Linked DNA regions of Oreochromis niloticus. The protein of the gene in region 1 interacts with the protein of each later gene in a pairwise test. Links are inferred from orthologs where the notes say so. Each region holds a gene or a part of one and is shown on either strand. Other genes may lie near its edges.

What was found.
Region 2: the proteins of segment polarity protein dishevelled homolog DVL-3 (region 1) and syt6a interact in binary tests that used the Homo sapiens proteins (3 or more experiments, as listed by UniProt). The two-hybrid records come from large-scale screens. The link is inferred for Oreochromis niloticus from reciprocal best matches to the Homo sapiens genes DVL3 and SYT6.

Annotation. Positions count from the first base shown.
Region 1 is NC_031982.2:12,052,679-12,061,402, reverse strand, and holds the start of segment polarity protein dishevelled homolog DVL-3, read right to left. Parts: upstream 3,621-8,724; 5' UTR 3,150-3,620; coding exon 2,989-3,149; intron 1,541-2,988; coding exon 1,471-1,540; intron 1-1,470. Other genes in the region: copb2 (coatomer subunit beta'), read right to left, coding at 6,137-6,232, 6,427-6,555, 6,714-6,791, 6,967-7,104, 7,202-7,340, 7,457-7,671, 7,797-7,907, 8,051-8,258 and 2 more. UniProt on the Homo sapiens protein: Involved in the signal transduction pathway mediated by multiple Wnt genes.
Region 2 is NC_031984.2:8,068,901-8,077,131, forward strand, and holds the start of syt6a (synaptotagmin-6), read left to right. Parts: upstream 1-4,574; 5' UTR 4,575-4,596; coding exon 4,597-4,753; intron 4,754-8,231.

The DNA.
Region 1 (8,724 bases):
ATCAGAAATGAAGCATGTATTTGCATGCAAAAACAAGTTTCAACGATGACATGAGACCAGTGTGAAACTGTAGCCATCGATAGCAACCTGTGGTGCTGAAAAAGTTCAGATTCAGCGGCTGCTGACCTCTATGTTAAGAATCCAATGTAAAAAAATATTTTTTTAAAAATCAGGTTTAATTAGATTGTATATACAGCCATTATGCACTTGAGAAGTCTCTTTTGTTCAGTGCATGTTTATTAGAAATCAAGCTGTGACGTCTAAACTTTTAAATTAAAGTACAGCAACAGAGTGAGTGCCAAGATGTTGGAAAGATAAATATGTTGTGCTGAAACAGGGCATCAGTATATCAAATCAAATCACCTGTACTGTCATAATAATTCAGCTATATTACTATGTGGCAAGATAGCTAAAATTAAAGTCTTCTGCTCTTAATCACAATCACAAGAGTCTACTTTGGTGTGCACTAAAGGGAGCCACAGCACAGGAGATACAGGGTGCTGGCTTGTTGTGATGAAATGATGTGCAGCGAGCCAGGCCTCTGGACCCCAGAGAATAATCAATCAGATCACTGAAACAACAGATGAACAGCGGAGACAAACAAATGGACATACTGTAACAGAAATAACATTTGACTGTACGTGGAACATATCAACAGCCCTCAAGAGATAACAAACACTTTGGAGCAAACGCACACAAAGGGGAACTGGCTTTTAAACACATTAAACTAAACCTCTGCGCAGTCTAATGAAAACGACCACAACAAAGAGACGCATTAGGACGAGCACGGTGGAATATACGCTCCAGAATGGAGCAATAACGCCATGTTGATGATGCTCAAATAATTAAAACCACACTGTAGAAATTAAGCGAGTGCTTTAGCCTTTCACATCACGACACAGAGCAGTCTTTCTCTCTGCTTTATTCTCTCCTCCCTGTGAGATTCAATCTTCTTGTTAGATGACCTGCAGTGAGGCCCTTTGTTATGGAGTATTTTCCGGCTATCCTGTGATTTCACTTGCTCTTAATCCAATTTCAATGTCGAGAAGAGAGGAAGGAGGGCCGTGCACGAGCGCCAGATGTCTCGAATGTTGTGGAGACAGGCGTATTATTGCTTAGAGGCTTTAAATAAGAAATTGCATGCAAGTACATGTATGTGCTATATGCGGCAACTAGCCTGTGTGAGGACACGCTAAAAAAAATTGATATTTTACAGTGAAAAAGAAAAGGTTTAGGAAAAGCAGTGTATGTATACTGCTCTGAGGATCGTTATGTGATAATGATATTATTACACAGATGTGCAGTGCCTCCCCCTAAGCTTGAGCATGACTGGGGTAAGTGCCCAACAGATGGTAATCATTGTTACACATTCATGTACGCCACTTAACCACACAAGTTATCGCACACAAGCAAACAGTAAAAAAATAAATAAATAAATACATTTTATTGCAGCGTGTATTTTGGACCTACCCATGACACCACGCGTCCATTGAAGCAGGGCAGCTTAGCATTGTCATCAGATATTTCTTCCTTTACCACCCTGTAAAGAGAACAAGGCTTTGTTTCAGTCAAACATTACCAACACAAAAGCACTCCCTGGGCAATAAAACATGAGGGTGCATTTAGAGGAAGTGGAGCTGGACAATATATTCCACCAACCAGGACGGACGCTGACAACTGGGGACAGTTTTACACATTAAGAATCAATGACAATGTTCAAAATAACCAAATGTTTGACACTACTGGCACACGCACAGAAAACCAGTCCAAAGATGGCTCACTTGTCCATTTCATATATAGAAGTAAGCCTTAATGCATTACAGACTGCTGCAAATACATTAACAAAAGGCATGTGTAAATGTAACCATGTGAATTTCCTGCAAACCCTCCCATTCATTCAGTCCTGCTTGCAAGGATCAGATGGCAGGCAGATCTTAACAACACCTTGTTACACAATGAAGAGGACAAATAAGGCATGTATTTAACAAGTGCCTCAGAGTATTGGAGATGTCAAGATTAGCCGGGTCTTTGACAGGGAGAACACTGATGGTCAGTGAGGCTTTCCTGGTAAAGATCTCAGGCTCCAAACCAGTCTAACAAGTTACTAAAACACCATCAGTCTAGACTTTAAGGATTCAGCAGCTAATTTAGTGCATGCACCTCCACTCTTGAAACAACACAAATAGCTGCGGATCCTTTCAAAACTCGTCCTTCCTATCTAGGTTGTTGCCCCACCCTTGTTTGAGTTTAGCCAGAAAAACTTTGGCAACCTGGCTCGAGTGTTTAAAAAAAAAAAAAAAAAAGTACATTTCTCCCTTTTATTTAACTCTGAAGAAGGTAAAGTGTGGAGGATCATAAAACGTCTACTTTTCTGGCCATGTTTTAACACAAAGGGACACGCTCATAAAGCTGCCAGAGTGATGAACAGGGCATTCCTGTGTCCAACTTTGCATTCCTTAGGCTAATAGACAACAACAGCAGGGGCCTTCTGGTCTCACTCACTCACCAAGTGTCCGGTTAGACCCATTCATTAGCCTGCTAGCATAAGCGTTTCATACATTAGGCAGCAACTGACAGCTGTAACGTCAATAACTAGTTAGTAACACTTTTCTGAATTGCTCCTTGTTTCATTTAGTCTTCAATAAGTTGAAATGCGATTAAAGGCTTTCTTTTAGTGTTCATGACACTGGAAATGACCAAACTTGGTAAGACAGTACAGCATAAGCTAAGCACGAGCAATGTAAACAAACGGGGTCGGGACGCTGAACAGACCTGCTAACGATGCGACCTGGACGCTAGCAGCTAACAAAGGAACAGCAAAGCAAACGGCTAGCTGATGACTGAAAGACAGGCAACCTTAAAAGTGATGACAAGCCAGCTCCACGAGGTAACAAATATGTTACAGTTAATCTGACTGGACTGAGGTTAAGCAGACTCGGGTTGCTATGCTGATTCCACGTTAAACACAATGAACCCTTTAACAGTTACCCGAAGTCATCGTCCATAGATTTGAAGAAGAATTTGTAATTTGGTTTCTTGAGGACATTTTTGAAGTCTGCCAGCGTGACTTTGTCCGCCGGCACCGACAGTTTCACCAGATATGGTGTCTCCTGGTCGTCGAGGTGGTAGATAATTTTGGTCTCCCCCATCTCGGACTGCGGATAAGGCAAGGCAGACTGGGTGCATCAAGCCAAGGGCCTGGCAGGCTCCCTCTCGGGCCCCGACTCCCCGTGGCGCTGGCGGCTGCGGCTGTGCCGTGGTCCACCCGACTCTCTCTGGCTGACCGACCCGTTCCGTAGTGCCCGGTTCTGCCTTTTTTTTCCCCTTTCTTTTTTCTTTACGGCAGCTTGCTAACGTTACGTCTGACTCTCTATTAAAAAAACACCTTGCTGTTCCACAAAGCGTCCAAACACCGCCCCAGGACTGAATTGCTTTAGTTTCCGTTTGTGTAAAACCTACAATATATCACAAAAACCTTACAAATAAGTGAGAAAAACAGTTTCAAAACGGCGCAAAAATAAACAATCTCAGAAGGGTCCGTACTCCCTTCTCGCTAGCTGCTCGGCTTTACTTTGTTGCACACGAAACTGCATAAAATCGTCCAAGCCTGTCTCGGAGGAGCGCCCTCCGCAGGTGAGGAGGAGAGTGACAGCTTTTCGAGGACAGCTGGGGCACTTTAACTGCTCCCATACTGCTCTGGCAAGGCCATTAAACGGCCTTTAAGCAGTTTTGAAGCCCCACAGACCACCCACAATTATATGATGTTATACTTACACAGAGCTTCAATATGTTTATACTCAAAAGTTTCCAATTTACAGCTGAAACCTTTAGATGGATTGCAAAGAATAAGACCATCATTGTCAGTCATCATTTTACTCTCTTAGAATTTGGATCTTAATCACTCTGAAATTAAAAATTTCAGCTGTGACACAAAAGACAAATGGAAAATTCCCCTTTGCATTTTAAATCTGGAAGGAGGGGGTTGGGGGAATGTAGGCCCTCCCATCATACAGCAGAGAATTGGCATGGAGGGAGAGGTTTTGAAATCAAACGACATTTTTATTTGTGTATGAATTTTGCTGACCCCTTGTAATTGCTATCATAGCTCACTCAGACTGAGAAGAAGTCCAATCAGAGTGATTGAAAGGCAGTAATATTTCAATTTTGTTATCAAGATTATTTGTTTTTCCCACATCAGCAGGTCAAAGAACTTAATTTATGACTGTGGATCATGGTTAACATTCTTCAGTTTATTATATGGCCATTGTTCACACTTTAGACATGTTTTATAGCACATGAAATAGCAGACAGGTGTTACCGACATTAATGCCGGTTATGCTGTATTTAAGCACAAAGCCGTAATTAATGTGGTTATTAACATCTGTGTTTACCTGCTATTTCAGATAAAAATGTGTCTTATTACTCTGAGGTGTGCAGTGAGATTTTACACACAAACACATCTACACTTTTAGATAGCATACATCTGGCTGAAGGATAACATACTTTTATAGTCCTTTCTTTACAGATAATAGCATTTTAATAGAACAAATGCTGTAAATTACATCTTTATAAGTGTAACCATCAAAATATTCCATCTTTACTTTTGCTATTTATCAAAATGTCATAAAAAACAAAGCAAGATATCAAGTATCAAACACTGCCTTTTAAAAACTGAATTATGAACGCAGAAAAGCACAATGTGGAAAGTGTCTAATTGGCAACAGATGACTCTTTTAGCATGACAATCACAAACACACTGTCAATGCAGTTAAAGCAACACAACAGTTTAAAAAGTCTGAAGCTACAGTTAAAGTAGTACAAGATAAAAGTACTCTTTATGGAGAATAAATGATATCTTTTCATACTAATATTGCACTTTGTGCATGTGGAGTAAGTGTTAACTGCTTTCTGTGATGCTAGTTATTGTATCAATACTCAGAAAAGAACCTAAAAGAATGCACTTAAGTGCACTGCAGTAAAAGTGTTTTTGTTTTGTTTTTTTAACATGTTTACGAGCATAAAGTAGTTTAACCTGTTCAAAACAGTTAGAAGATGCACAATGGGCCTTTCTCATACAGAGAGTAACAACTTGAATCTTAGTAAAGGCTGCATGTTAGTCATGTCTGACTTACTGCCACACCTACATGGTGCAACAGAGACACTGTTAATGTTAATTACACAAATGCTGCTGCTGCCAAAAGATGTTTGTAGGTTTTCCTGTTTGTTTTTGACAATTACAAGACTTGCATCACTGGAATTTTTCAAATAATTATGCATTATTATGCTGTTTATTATGCAGTGATGCATGTGTGTCTGTCTAATTTATACAGCTGGCAGTAGAATGGGAGGATGGCATGGCTCAGGCCAGCGAGAGGAAGAGGCTATGACATCCTAAGTTGAAAGCGGAGGTGGAACAGTGAGGTTGGAGAGCAATAGTTTGCACAGTGGAGATTAACAGTGGTTATGTTTCTGTTACTGTACTGGAGCAACTGTAACCCACATAATTTCCTTAGGGATTAATAAAGTATACTGATTCTGATTGTGCTATAACCACCCAAACTCCTTAAAAAGTTAGAGATGTGTGGCCAAGCCGTACACCACACCATCTCAGGAATTGCTCAGTGCTGCAGTAAGTGGCTGTAGATGAGGAGCAAAGACCCCAGCTGGACCCTGACACACTCGATGCTGCTGAGGAACTTATTATTGCTTCATTATTAAAAGCTGCATTTGTTAATTTTTGCGATAACTATCAAGATTAAGACGCTCTTTAGTCAAATGTGAATATGTACAGAAACCAGTTTATTGGACTTAATGAATGTTCACTTGCCACAACAGAAAAAAAAAGCAAAGCAAAAAGCAAAGAGTAATAAAATACAGCCCAGTGGACAGTTTTTCTGAAATTCTCAAACAATAAATGGTTTACAAAATGAGGGAGTCTGTCTACCTTTCTTCTGAGGATAAAACATCACTGATATCATGATCTGCCACTCAAACACTGCAGTAGGCGGATATGACAATATAACATTTTTACGGACAAATACAAAAGAAAAAAAAAGTGGGGAAAAGGGATTTGGTCTCTTTTTCTTTTAAATATGCTCTATAGAGTGCTTGGGAGCAGACTGTTGGCAGGTCTCAATCAATCGTCGAGAAAGTCATCATCAAGGTTAACATCTGTGGTGTCAATGTCATCCAGCTCCATGTTGTCCAGGTCCACCTCGAGCTCATCCAGAGTCTAGGACGGAGAGACACAAACAAAAAGGAAAATCCTTTTTTAAACAATGTTCCATTTATTTGCTTTTACTTCATCAACTAAGAACAGTATGTGCTAAAAGTTGTTTTGTATGAATAAAACCTAAGTCATCACTTCCACACTAGAAGAAGGACTGACAGCATAATAAATCAAAAATAAAGAGCAGAAGTCTTTACCTTATCTTTCTGTGAGAAATCATAGATTTCAGTCTCTTTCTCTTTCTCCACTGCTGCAGGAGGAGCAGGCTCAGGCTGTAAAGGTGTCACCGCAGCAACGGGAGCTGCTGCCTCCTCTTCATCTTGTGTCTGCCAAAAAAAGTGAGTTAAATAAGGGAATTTTAAATTGTACTTGGCACTAATTTCTCTAGCTTTTATTCATTCTTACACCCGACAGAAGCTACAGAACAATGAACAGTAATCAGGTTAATACAAAAGGTACTGAGATATTGATACTGTATGCAAACCTTAGAGACAGGAGGTAGGAAGGTTCCTTTGGGCTCGTATCCTTGGGCCTCTTCAAGAATGTTTCTGTCTTCATTGGGCTGAAAATGTCAGATACAAATTCAGAAGTGCTGCCATATTAGCGATAACACAGATAATTTACCTCAAAACTAAGCATCTTTTTTACTTAAGTCATCATGGACTTTCAGTGAGTACTTTAATGACCGTCTCCTCACTGCATAATTTAAGTATTTTGACCAAAGTCATTCAGCTTACTGTAACAAGTGGATAGTCTTTAGCAGGCCTGGTGGTGCCCAAGCAGGTTTCTCTCAGGTAGTGTTCAGCTGCAAAGGCTTCTTTCAGCCCGGGGAACAGATTCTCATACTCTGTAGGGTCTGCTAGGGATTCAGCCGCCTACAATGAAGATGCAGGTCATGACCAAGAACAGATATCTAGACTGATGCTGATTGAGTTTAACAGCTAAAACAAAAATCTCAAGGACGTAACTAACCTTCTGGTTGACCTTGGCCAGATTCTCCCTCCATAATTTGACCACACGGGACACCTGGCTGGGTAGGTAAGTGCGAGCCAGGAAGGCAGCTTCAGGTAGTCTGTTTGTTCTGATCAGAAGCTCCAAACACTGATCCAGTCTGTGAAGAAAGCACAGCAGCAAGGCATGAATGACCCTGGTAGCCTCATTTTCAGTGTGAACAACACGATTCTATTACACAATTCGCCCCTGCAGGCTCATACATCTCACACTTACTTTCCCTGAAGGAAGTAGGTCATGAAGGCTACATTGTTTTTGCCGTCCCTTTCTGCCCCTTCAGCCAGCTTGCCCACCATGACAGCATTACCGGAGGCTGTAGCGAGGAGGAGCAGGCCACCATAATCCTGGGCATGGTGCAGGCACTCTTGGGCCAGGCCAAACTGGCACTTACTAATAGCCAGCTCTGCTAGCTGCTTCCACTTCTGCTCTGACTGTAGAGAACAGAGTAAAAAATATCAGAAATGTACTGGACAGAAAACCTGATCCATCGTGACATCAAATTACATTTATGGTCAAGCCTTTGATACAGAGTTTGCGTTTGCTTCTGTGTCCTTACTTCTGCTTCTACAGCCAGCTGGTAAGCAATCTTCAACTCTCCCAGCTGCAAGGCTAACTCAAACCTGTGCTCAGGGTCTGTGGACACTGCCAGGGCCTGCTGCTTGAAACCCTGATGAGCCAAAGAAATTGAAGCCTTAAGCATACTTACAACTCAAAAGACAACCATTAAAATAACCTCTAATAGACCAGATTTCTACAGCTTATGTTTAAAGTCCAGTTGTATTTGAAGATGAATGAATCGCCTTTGCTAACCTGTTTCTCCAGGAAGTGTGCCACCCTGGTCCTCTGCTCTTTAGGGATAGTGGGTAGCACCTTGTCAGCCATTCCAAAGTCCCGCCTCATTACAGCAGTCTGGTACTCCAGGACGGAGACCAGCAGGGAGTAGCTGACGATATTGAGCTCCTTGTCTCCCAGATACAGACGGTCATCTTTAGGTATGTAACCCAGTAGGTACATGGTCCTGCAGAAAAGGAAGTAGGTGTGAAAAAGCACCAAGGCTAATTTTAGAGGCTGCTTATTCTTTTTGTAGATTACATATTTACTGTAATAATCTGCGGAGTTTCCGCATTGCTGGACTGTGTTTCTAATAAAGTTGGGAGGGCAATTCTATTCAACTCGAGCCTAAATAGTCTGTATTCTTACCTGTCCAAGTGTGCAATTGTGACAATCTCTCCTCCAACGTAATAGTTGAGTCTGTTTACAGAGCTGGTGTAGATGAAGCAGTCTCCAACCCAGAGCCCAGTCTTGACAATCTCCTGGATCTCTCCCTGGACCTGAACATGTCATAAAAGGTCAAATATATTTCTTAGATCAAGTATTACATTATGCTAAGCTATTCTGAACACTGACTTCCAACAAAGGATGTGAATGCACTCACATCCACACACCTACCTCAAAGGCATCTTCAATACCATCCTCTGTCACTC
Region 2 (8,231 bases), on another chromosome or scaffold:
AGTATACAGCACCAAATCACAACAACAGCTTTATATTGTAAGGTAGACCCTACAATAATACATACAGAGAAAAACCCAACAATCATATGACCCCCTATGAGCAAGCACTTTGGCGACAGTGGGAAGGAAAACCCGCATTTTAACAGGAAGAAACCTTTGGCAGAACCAGGCTCAGGGAGGGGCGGCCATCTGCTGCGACCGGTTGGGGGGAGAGAAGGAAGACAGGATGAAAGACATGCTGTGATGTTAATCTGGTAACATGCGGTAGTACAGCCCTTACTAAAAAAAAGTAACCTTGATCGGCATGCAAACAATATCAGTGATAAGTTCCAGTCTGACTTTAAACCATGCCGTAGCACTGAAACAGCGCTGCTGAGAGTCCTTAATGACCTTCTTTTATTTGCCAACTCAGGGTGCTCTATGGTCTTAGTTCTATTGGACTTGACTTCTGCCTTCAATATGGTGGAGCATAATATCCTCTTAATGAGGCTTGAACATACAGTAGGCATAAGGGGTAGTGCCCTTAACTGGTTTAGATCGTATCTTTCGGATAGGTCCTACTCCGTCACTATGGGTGGCTGCTCTTCCTCTGTTGCTTCCCTCTACTGTGGTGTGCCCCAGGGATCTGTGTTGGGCCCGTTGTGGTTTTCATTGTATATGCTGCCCCTAGACTCTATCTTCGAGATGTATAATATCTCCTTTCACTTTTATGCTGACGATATTCAAATTTACTTTCAGCTGACTGATGACATTTCGTCGTCAGTACACTGTCTGCTAGAGTGCTTGAGAGAGGTCAAAGATTGGCTCTCTGATAACTCTCTTATATTAAACGAGAAGAAAACGGAATCATGTTGTTTGATAACCATATTTCCCGGGGCCAATTTGCCGACACTCTTGGACCCCTTGCCGCCTTTCTTTCTGGCACTGTTATCAACTTAGGTGTCTTCGACACTCTTCAACAGCCTCTTTAAGTTTGACAAACAAGTATCCTCTGTAGTTAAATCTAGTTTTTACCAACTGCGTCAAATCTTATCCATGCTTTTGTGACCTCTAGATTAGACTACTATAATTCCCTTTACTTTGGTCTCCACTCTGCCCTTCTTCATAGATTTCAGCTTGTCCAGAATGCTGCGGCACACCTTTTGACTGGAACCAGAAGGTTTGCCTCTATTACCCCAGTCCTTGCTGACCTGCATTGGCTTCCTATCAAATACCACATTGAGTTTAAAATTGTGTTGCTTACCTTTAAAATCATGAACAACACTGCACCGTGCTACCTTGTTGAACTCCTTAGTCCGTATACCCCTAGGAGAGCCCTAAGATCATCAGGACAATTACTCCTAGTGGAGCCTAGGTCCCGGCTAAAGACCAGAGGTGACCGTGCTTTTGCCCTGGCAGCCCCTAACCCAGGGATCTGCAACCTTTTACACCCAAAGAGCCATTTGGACCCGGTTTCCACGCAAAAGAAAACACTGGGAGCCGCAAATACTTTTTGACATCTAAAATGAAGATAACACTGTATAGATTGTTTTTTATCTTTATGCTTTGTGTGAACAACTTAAGTGTGTTGCTTATGAAATCCATGAAGTGCTACAGAGAAAATTACATTATATTTATGTAATCAACACATTTTGAACTCTTAAAGAAATATAATAAAAGGAAAGACACCAACCTGAACTAAAATGATCCATGTAGCAAACAAAAACTGTTGTCAGCCGCCACCCTTATATCCCCTTTGGGCTGTTGGAGCCTTGACCTGACTCTTAAAAAATAATTGGAAAAAAGCACTATGCTGCTGAAAAATGAAAAATAGATATTTGCAAAATTCTGCCTAAATATGTATTTTACCTAGTTAATGCGTGCGGCGGGGCGTGGTTTGCAGCGCCGCTGCAGGGGAGGCGGACGCACCTGAGCGACACCCGCAATCACGCCTCGCTGCCTTAAAGTCTGCGCTATCTGTGCTGTTGTGTTGTCGGGCTGTGAGCTGAAAAGCTACAGCCGGCTGTATGCATACAGCAACCGTGTGTGAAAAGTGCTCAATAAAGAGATGCTCAAAAGCATGCTCATGGAAACATCGTCGGGTCTGCCGTGATATGTTTACAATGGGACTTCTGCTCCTGAACCTCTGCGCACAGAGTCCGCAAATCGGGGCTATACAAAGTCAGTTTACGCAGGACTGTAAGCTGTCATCTGTCAGGCGTGAACGGTGTTTGTCTTTAACATAGTTCACGGTGGAGAACAGCTGCTGACATAATGTGGATCCGAAGATCCATAATTGGCCTACCTGGGGTTGAAAGTCTCGATAAATGCACGGCGTTTCGGCGGGTACACCGGCTTCCGCGAGTGTGACTCTTATTTTGAGCGATGAAAAAATAATAGAATATCATTTTATTTTTATATTTCAATATCACAATAATCTTCCAATTTAGAACTACAAGTTAAAAAGAACTAACATAAATAAAATACACTTCAGCTAAATACTTCTAATTTATTTGCCCAAACCAAGCGGAGCCGCACTTTAAGGACTAAAGAGCCGCATGCGGCTCCGGAGCCGCAGGTTGCCGACCCCTGCCCTAACCTCTGGAACAATCTTCCTGCAGCTATTCGCGCCTCTGATTCCATCCATTCATTTAAATCACGGTTAAAAACTTACCTGTTTGAGCGAGCGTTTCTGGTTAGTTAGTGCTCATTCCCTGTATTTTATCCCTATGTTATTTATCTTCTATTTGATATATCACTGTATAAATACCCCCACCTTATATTTACAAATACTCAGTGATTTTATCTTTTAAATTACGCTCAGATGTTTCATTTCCTATTTTATCTGTATTGATTGTTTAACTAGCGTTTCTCACTTGTTAGTTTATTTGTACCCTGTTATGGTCTGATATCTGTTATGTTTTAATCTTGTTTTGAAGCACTTTGGTGTACCTTTGGTTTTAAATGTGCTATATAAATAAACTTGTATTGTATTAATCTATCAGTATATACAAGATGTAATGAACATGATATTTTCAGTGCTAAAATAAAATATTGTTGTTATGCATCCATTTACAAATACTCTGTTTTACAAAAAGCAGGAAAATAGTCTTAAATAAGATGCAAATTCCTGAACAGAAAGATTTGGTTTAGTAGTTGAATGTTATGCTTGATTAATTTCTGACTAAAAAGTATAAAATTGTGAATTATTTAGTTTTTAGTTAAAAAATGCATTTTCAAGAGATTTTTAAAATATTTGTGTTTTTATAGTTTTTAAGAAAGGTGGTCTAATAAATCTGCTAAGCACTCTCTATACAAAGGGGTTTTGACTCCAGCATCCAAGAAAGACATCCAAACATTCATGAAGGGTATGCAACAAATGGCAATGTTATGCCTCTGATGTCAGCACAATTTCATTTTGGAAACATTTTTCATCCACAACTATATTATAGTTAGTTTGCTGAGTGGTACAGTAAGTCCAAAAGTTTGAGCTTCAGTATCTGCTTTATGCACAGTTTATAAAATTCTTGCTAACCAAGCTAAGTAGTAATTTGGCTGATCACACATCACTCCACTCAAATATGACCACTTCTGGTTCCAAACACGGATGGGAATGGTAATTTCACAGAGATCAAAATATTGCATGGCAAAAAGGGAAGACCAAAATATTGCACAGAACAAGGAAAGACTGAGATATTGCACATGGGATGGCAGCAACATAGTCAATCAATAGCAGCGACGGAGTGATTGGATGGGAGAAGTAGCTGTATAAACTGTTGGCTATTTGAGTTTGTATTTTAGAGTATAAACAGTGCATGAGTGTGTATCAGTAAAATAACCATTTGAACACATTATATGGAGCCCTACTTACTCACAAAGAGGTGAACTATCATCATTACAGGTCATTAAGGGATCACAGTTGAACCGATAGGGGATTGTCTGTGGGAGTGAGACCTGGTAGTTACAGGTGGCTCAGCTCAGGGGAGATTCGTGTCAGGGGAGTCTCTGACCTGCAGGGACTAGCCATGTTAGACAACTTGAGAAAAACAAGTCTTGTGGGTTTTTTAAAAGTCTATTCACACTCAACGAATGTGTGGTGGCATAACAGCCAAAGGTGAGGGGGCTTGAAGGTGTCATCAAGCTCTGACATTTTATAGTGTACTGTATGGATGTTTGACTGAAATCAGTGTGTTTTGTTTGACTTGCTTTCCTGGTGTCAATGTGATGCAATAATTCTGCGCTTATAACACATGGGGATAAATGTGATTAATTAAGTCTACAAAACACAGTTATACACACACTTACACATGGACACATGGGGAGCAGCACAAACACCACATGTTTATGCACTAAAAAATATTGGTCCATCTTGCACACACGCACACACAATGTTGGGACAAGCTTGCACACATGAACACACAAACAAAGTGAAGCACACACACGCACGCACACAAGAAAACATGCACACACACTCGAGAGACGGCAGAAGAAGGAGAAGAATCAGCCTAGGACGGAGACAAGTTGCATTTATCTTCTGCATGCCAGCCTGCTGCGTGTGTGCGTGGGAGTATTGGTCCCCTTGGATGAGCACACGCGGCTGAGGATGCAGCTGGGAGCATGAGTTCTGACAGAGAGGAGTATGACATGGTCTGTCAGAGAGCTGTGACCCTAATTGTTGACCTCTGCCTGCACAACAGCACATCGTTGGATCAGGACACCTGTCAGGATTTCCTTTTCCTATTGTCTGGCCACAGCTCTGACCACAAAGAACTGGGTGAGTAATATCATTAGCTTCTGATGTGCACTGGTTGTAAGGCAGCACCTTCTCTGCCTTCTCTGTGCTTTGTATGGCTCCATGCTCATTTGTTTCCAAGAGTAGAGCTAATAGTAAAGGATTTTGTTTGTGAATGCTTTTCTGTCACGCAAAAGTCGAAGAAAGCAGCAATCTGCTTAAACATGTGCTTGTCCTTTTCTATTTATTTCCCACATGTATGCTCAGAGATGGTTACTCGGACAGGGCTTTCACTGAACACTCGTGGCCATTTATATATCCTTAATGAGTTTTTGTGACCTCAGGGCAATGGGGAGCAATAGGTGTACAACAACAAAACAAATTCCCATTGACTCGTCAGTTTGCCCCGGAGGGCAGAGTTTCTTTACTGTAATGGATAAGCCTTAAGGCTGAGTGATGCCCGGTGATGTCCTGAGCACAACAGCTTACAATCAAAATAAAATAAAAACATTTTCAGGCATGTTTTGTATGGTTTATGCCTCTAAATATAAATCTGAACACATGTAGCTGCAGCTTGTGGAAAAGCAGGATAGTCGTGCGTTTAATCTGTACGGCAAAGTTTCGACATCATAAAAAAGGGATTTTTGACTTATTCATGAGGGCTGATTTACACATCTGTTGCAGCCTTGTGCATCTGTTGCTCTTGCACTTGTAGTGGGCTTCACCCTCTTTAAAGGAATAATCCCTCTCTTCAAATATATTTTAAATGCAGCAGCTCTACAACAGGCTCCAGCGTTTGTGTGTATTTTTTCCCTTCTACAAATTCGAGTCATGAGAATTTGCAGTTCAATCTAGCAAATATTGCCTGAGTTTTCTAAAAGCGGGGGAAGCTTGATTTAATTTACTTACACTGCAGATAACACTGTCAAATACACTAGGGTGTTTGAAGGATTTGTTGCCTTATAGACTTAGAAAGGCAGGCTTCCCTGAGGTCTCACTGTGTGAAGATTTTTAGTAAATGGGATTTAAATGTTAAATGTCTGTGTACAACATGAAGAGTGACACGATTTATACACTTTTACAGAATAATTTGCATGAAAAAATGAAGCAAATTCAAACTACAGAAGAACAGATTGTTTAAAATAGGAAGTCTATCAGGACACTATTTCATGCCAATTTCCATTAACTGTTGCATATTATTTATCCATAACCGCAATTTGGATTCCTTTTATAATCCATCTGATTTTACGAGTTTGCTTGCAAGTTCACGTGCACTGCATTGAGTTTTCTGTGTTTGACAGAAAAAAAAAAGAGTCTTTAGATTCGTCAGCAGGTGCAGAGCAAAGAGGAAATGCTATTTGCTGCTGCTTTTTTGGAAGATGGGCCCCTGCTCAAAGAGTGCATGTCACACCAATCCTGACCAAATCCACTGTCACCTCACATCATCCTCAGCAGAGAAATTGAACGTACATCACAGTGCCACTGGCATCTACTACCGAGCTGTGGGGACATTACATGCCATTGCATGTTATGTGGCCATTGATGCAAATTCCTTCTGCCATGAGGAAGCTAAAGACAAGCTGCTTCTGATAGTGTTGGAGGATGTGTAGGTTGGGGCTGAAGAAAATGTCTTGTTTCACGTATTTTTGTGCAACACTGATTACAGCAGAAAGAGAGATTTGAGTTTTTGTTCATCAACAGGACTTACAATGCAGGATCGTAATAAAACTGACATTTAAATAAAAGATTTTTGACAGATTTTATAGGTTTAGCCCGAAGTGACAACTTATTCGTCACAAATCACAGTAAATAGAAATTACACATTTCACTATCATGCTAATTGCCAAAACGCAATCTGTGGTCACACATTTGTTCATTCAGTTTAGTTTTTTCAATTTTTGTTATATAGCACCATAATCCATACAAAGCACACACTGCAAGGCACTTTATATTGTAAGCAAAGACCCTACAATGATATGGAGAAAACCCCATCGGTCCCCCATAAGCATGCAGTTGGCGACAGTGGGAAGGAAAAACTCTTCTTTGATGGGAAGAATCCTGCATTGTGGAAGAGAGCTAGAAATGAATAAAAACTAATTAAACACACAGAGTATAAACACATAGCGAGTGAAAAAAGATGAGTGAAGATGAAATACTCCAGCAGTCTAGAGCTATTGGAACAAAGCTAATGGAGGGTAATAATAATTATTTGATGTTAAAAAAGTTTATGAGAATCATTTTATATATTTTTCCATAGCATTACATTTGAATTTAACAGTTCAATCTTTCAACTAACAGACACATATTTGTGAAATCATGATACATTTGTGAATGTATTTTAACAATCTAAATATGCATAAGTACAGACAAGTACATTTAAAAAACAAGAAAATTATGTTTTATTACATTACAGTGATTTTACGTTAATTTACATTTGAAATGTGAAATCACAGTCTATTTATGTAAATTTAATGATATTCTAGAAGAACAGAACAAAACTGTAAAATACACAGTAAAATACTTTTATATTAGGATTTTTTTTTACAGTGTAGCCTAAGTGCCACAAGTAAGCTACTGTAATGAAATCAAACAGAGAGAGCCTGATTTTTGTTTTGTTTTTGACATATTTGTTCCAAATTGTAAGAAATTAGGAATGTTTTTTGTTTTTTTGGTTTGTTTTTTCTGTGAATTGCTCTTCTTATTTTAACTCAATTATTCCATTTCTTAATTGATCAGTAAATTAAATACACACACACACAAACACACACAAGAACATAAGGCTGATTTTAAAAGTGCTACGACTTGTCGTAGTAGGGTTTCCAGTGTTTGAGTCTTCACAGACAGTACTGAGAAATGCTACTGTTTGAAAAAAGTGTGCGTTTTTTTTAAGTGTATGGCATGTTTACAATTTTGCTGCATCACCTCTTTTTAGAAACCTCTGTTCTTCATAACTGTGGAGATCAGCTGGTTTATTTTTAAAAGCAAAATTTCGCTTCCCATTCATTTTCTTCTATATTGGATTTCTTCTTTCTTCATGTTTTTAACAGTTATTGTGAATGTTAAGGTTCTCAGTCATGCAGGTCATGGTGGTCTAAAGAGCTTGGAAAGAAAAGCGTCTGGACTTCTTTAAGTTGCTTGAAGACGTTTCACCTCTCATCCGAGAAGCTTCTTGAGGTCAAATGGTGGAGCGTGCCAGATTTAAGCCCTGTGGGATTTAAGCCCTGTGGGAGTGTCCCCCCAAGAGGGACAGTGTACCCCCTAATGATCCTCTACCTAATCACATGAGCCAAGGTGTGAAAACGGGTGTAGGTCACAATCAGTGATGGTGACAGTAATAGTTATTGTGAATAATATACCATTTCCAAAAAGGACCACACACCACATCCGTTTTTCACCTCAGCTTAGCCCATCTTAACTGACCTACGGACAAGGGACAGCAGCTGGTTTTGGATCTTTATGTTTTTTATGTCATTGCATGGTAGAGTTTCAACTTCTATTTGCTGAAACAAACACACTGTGT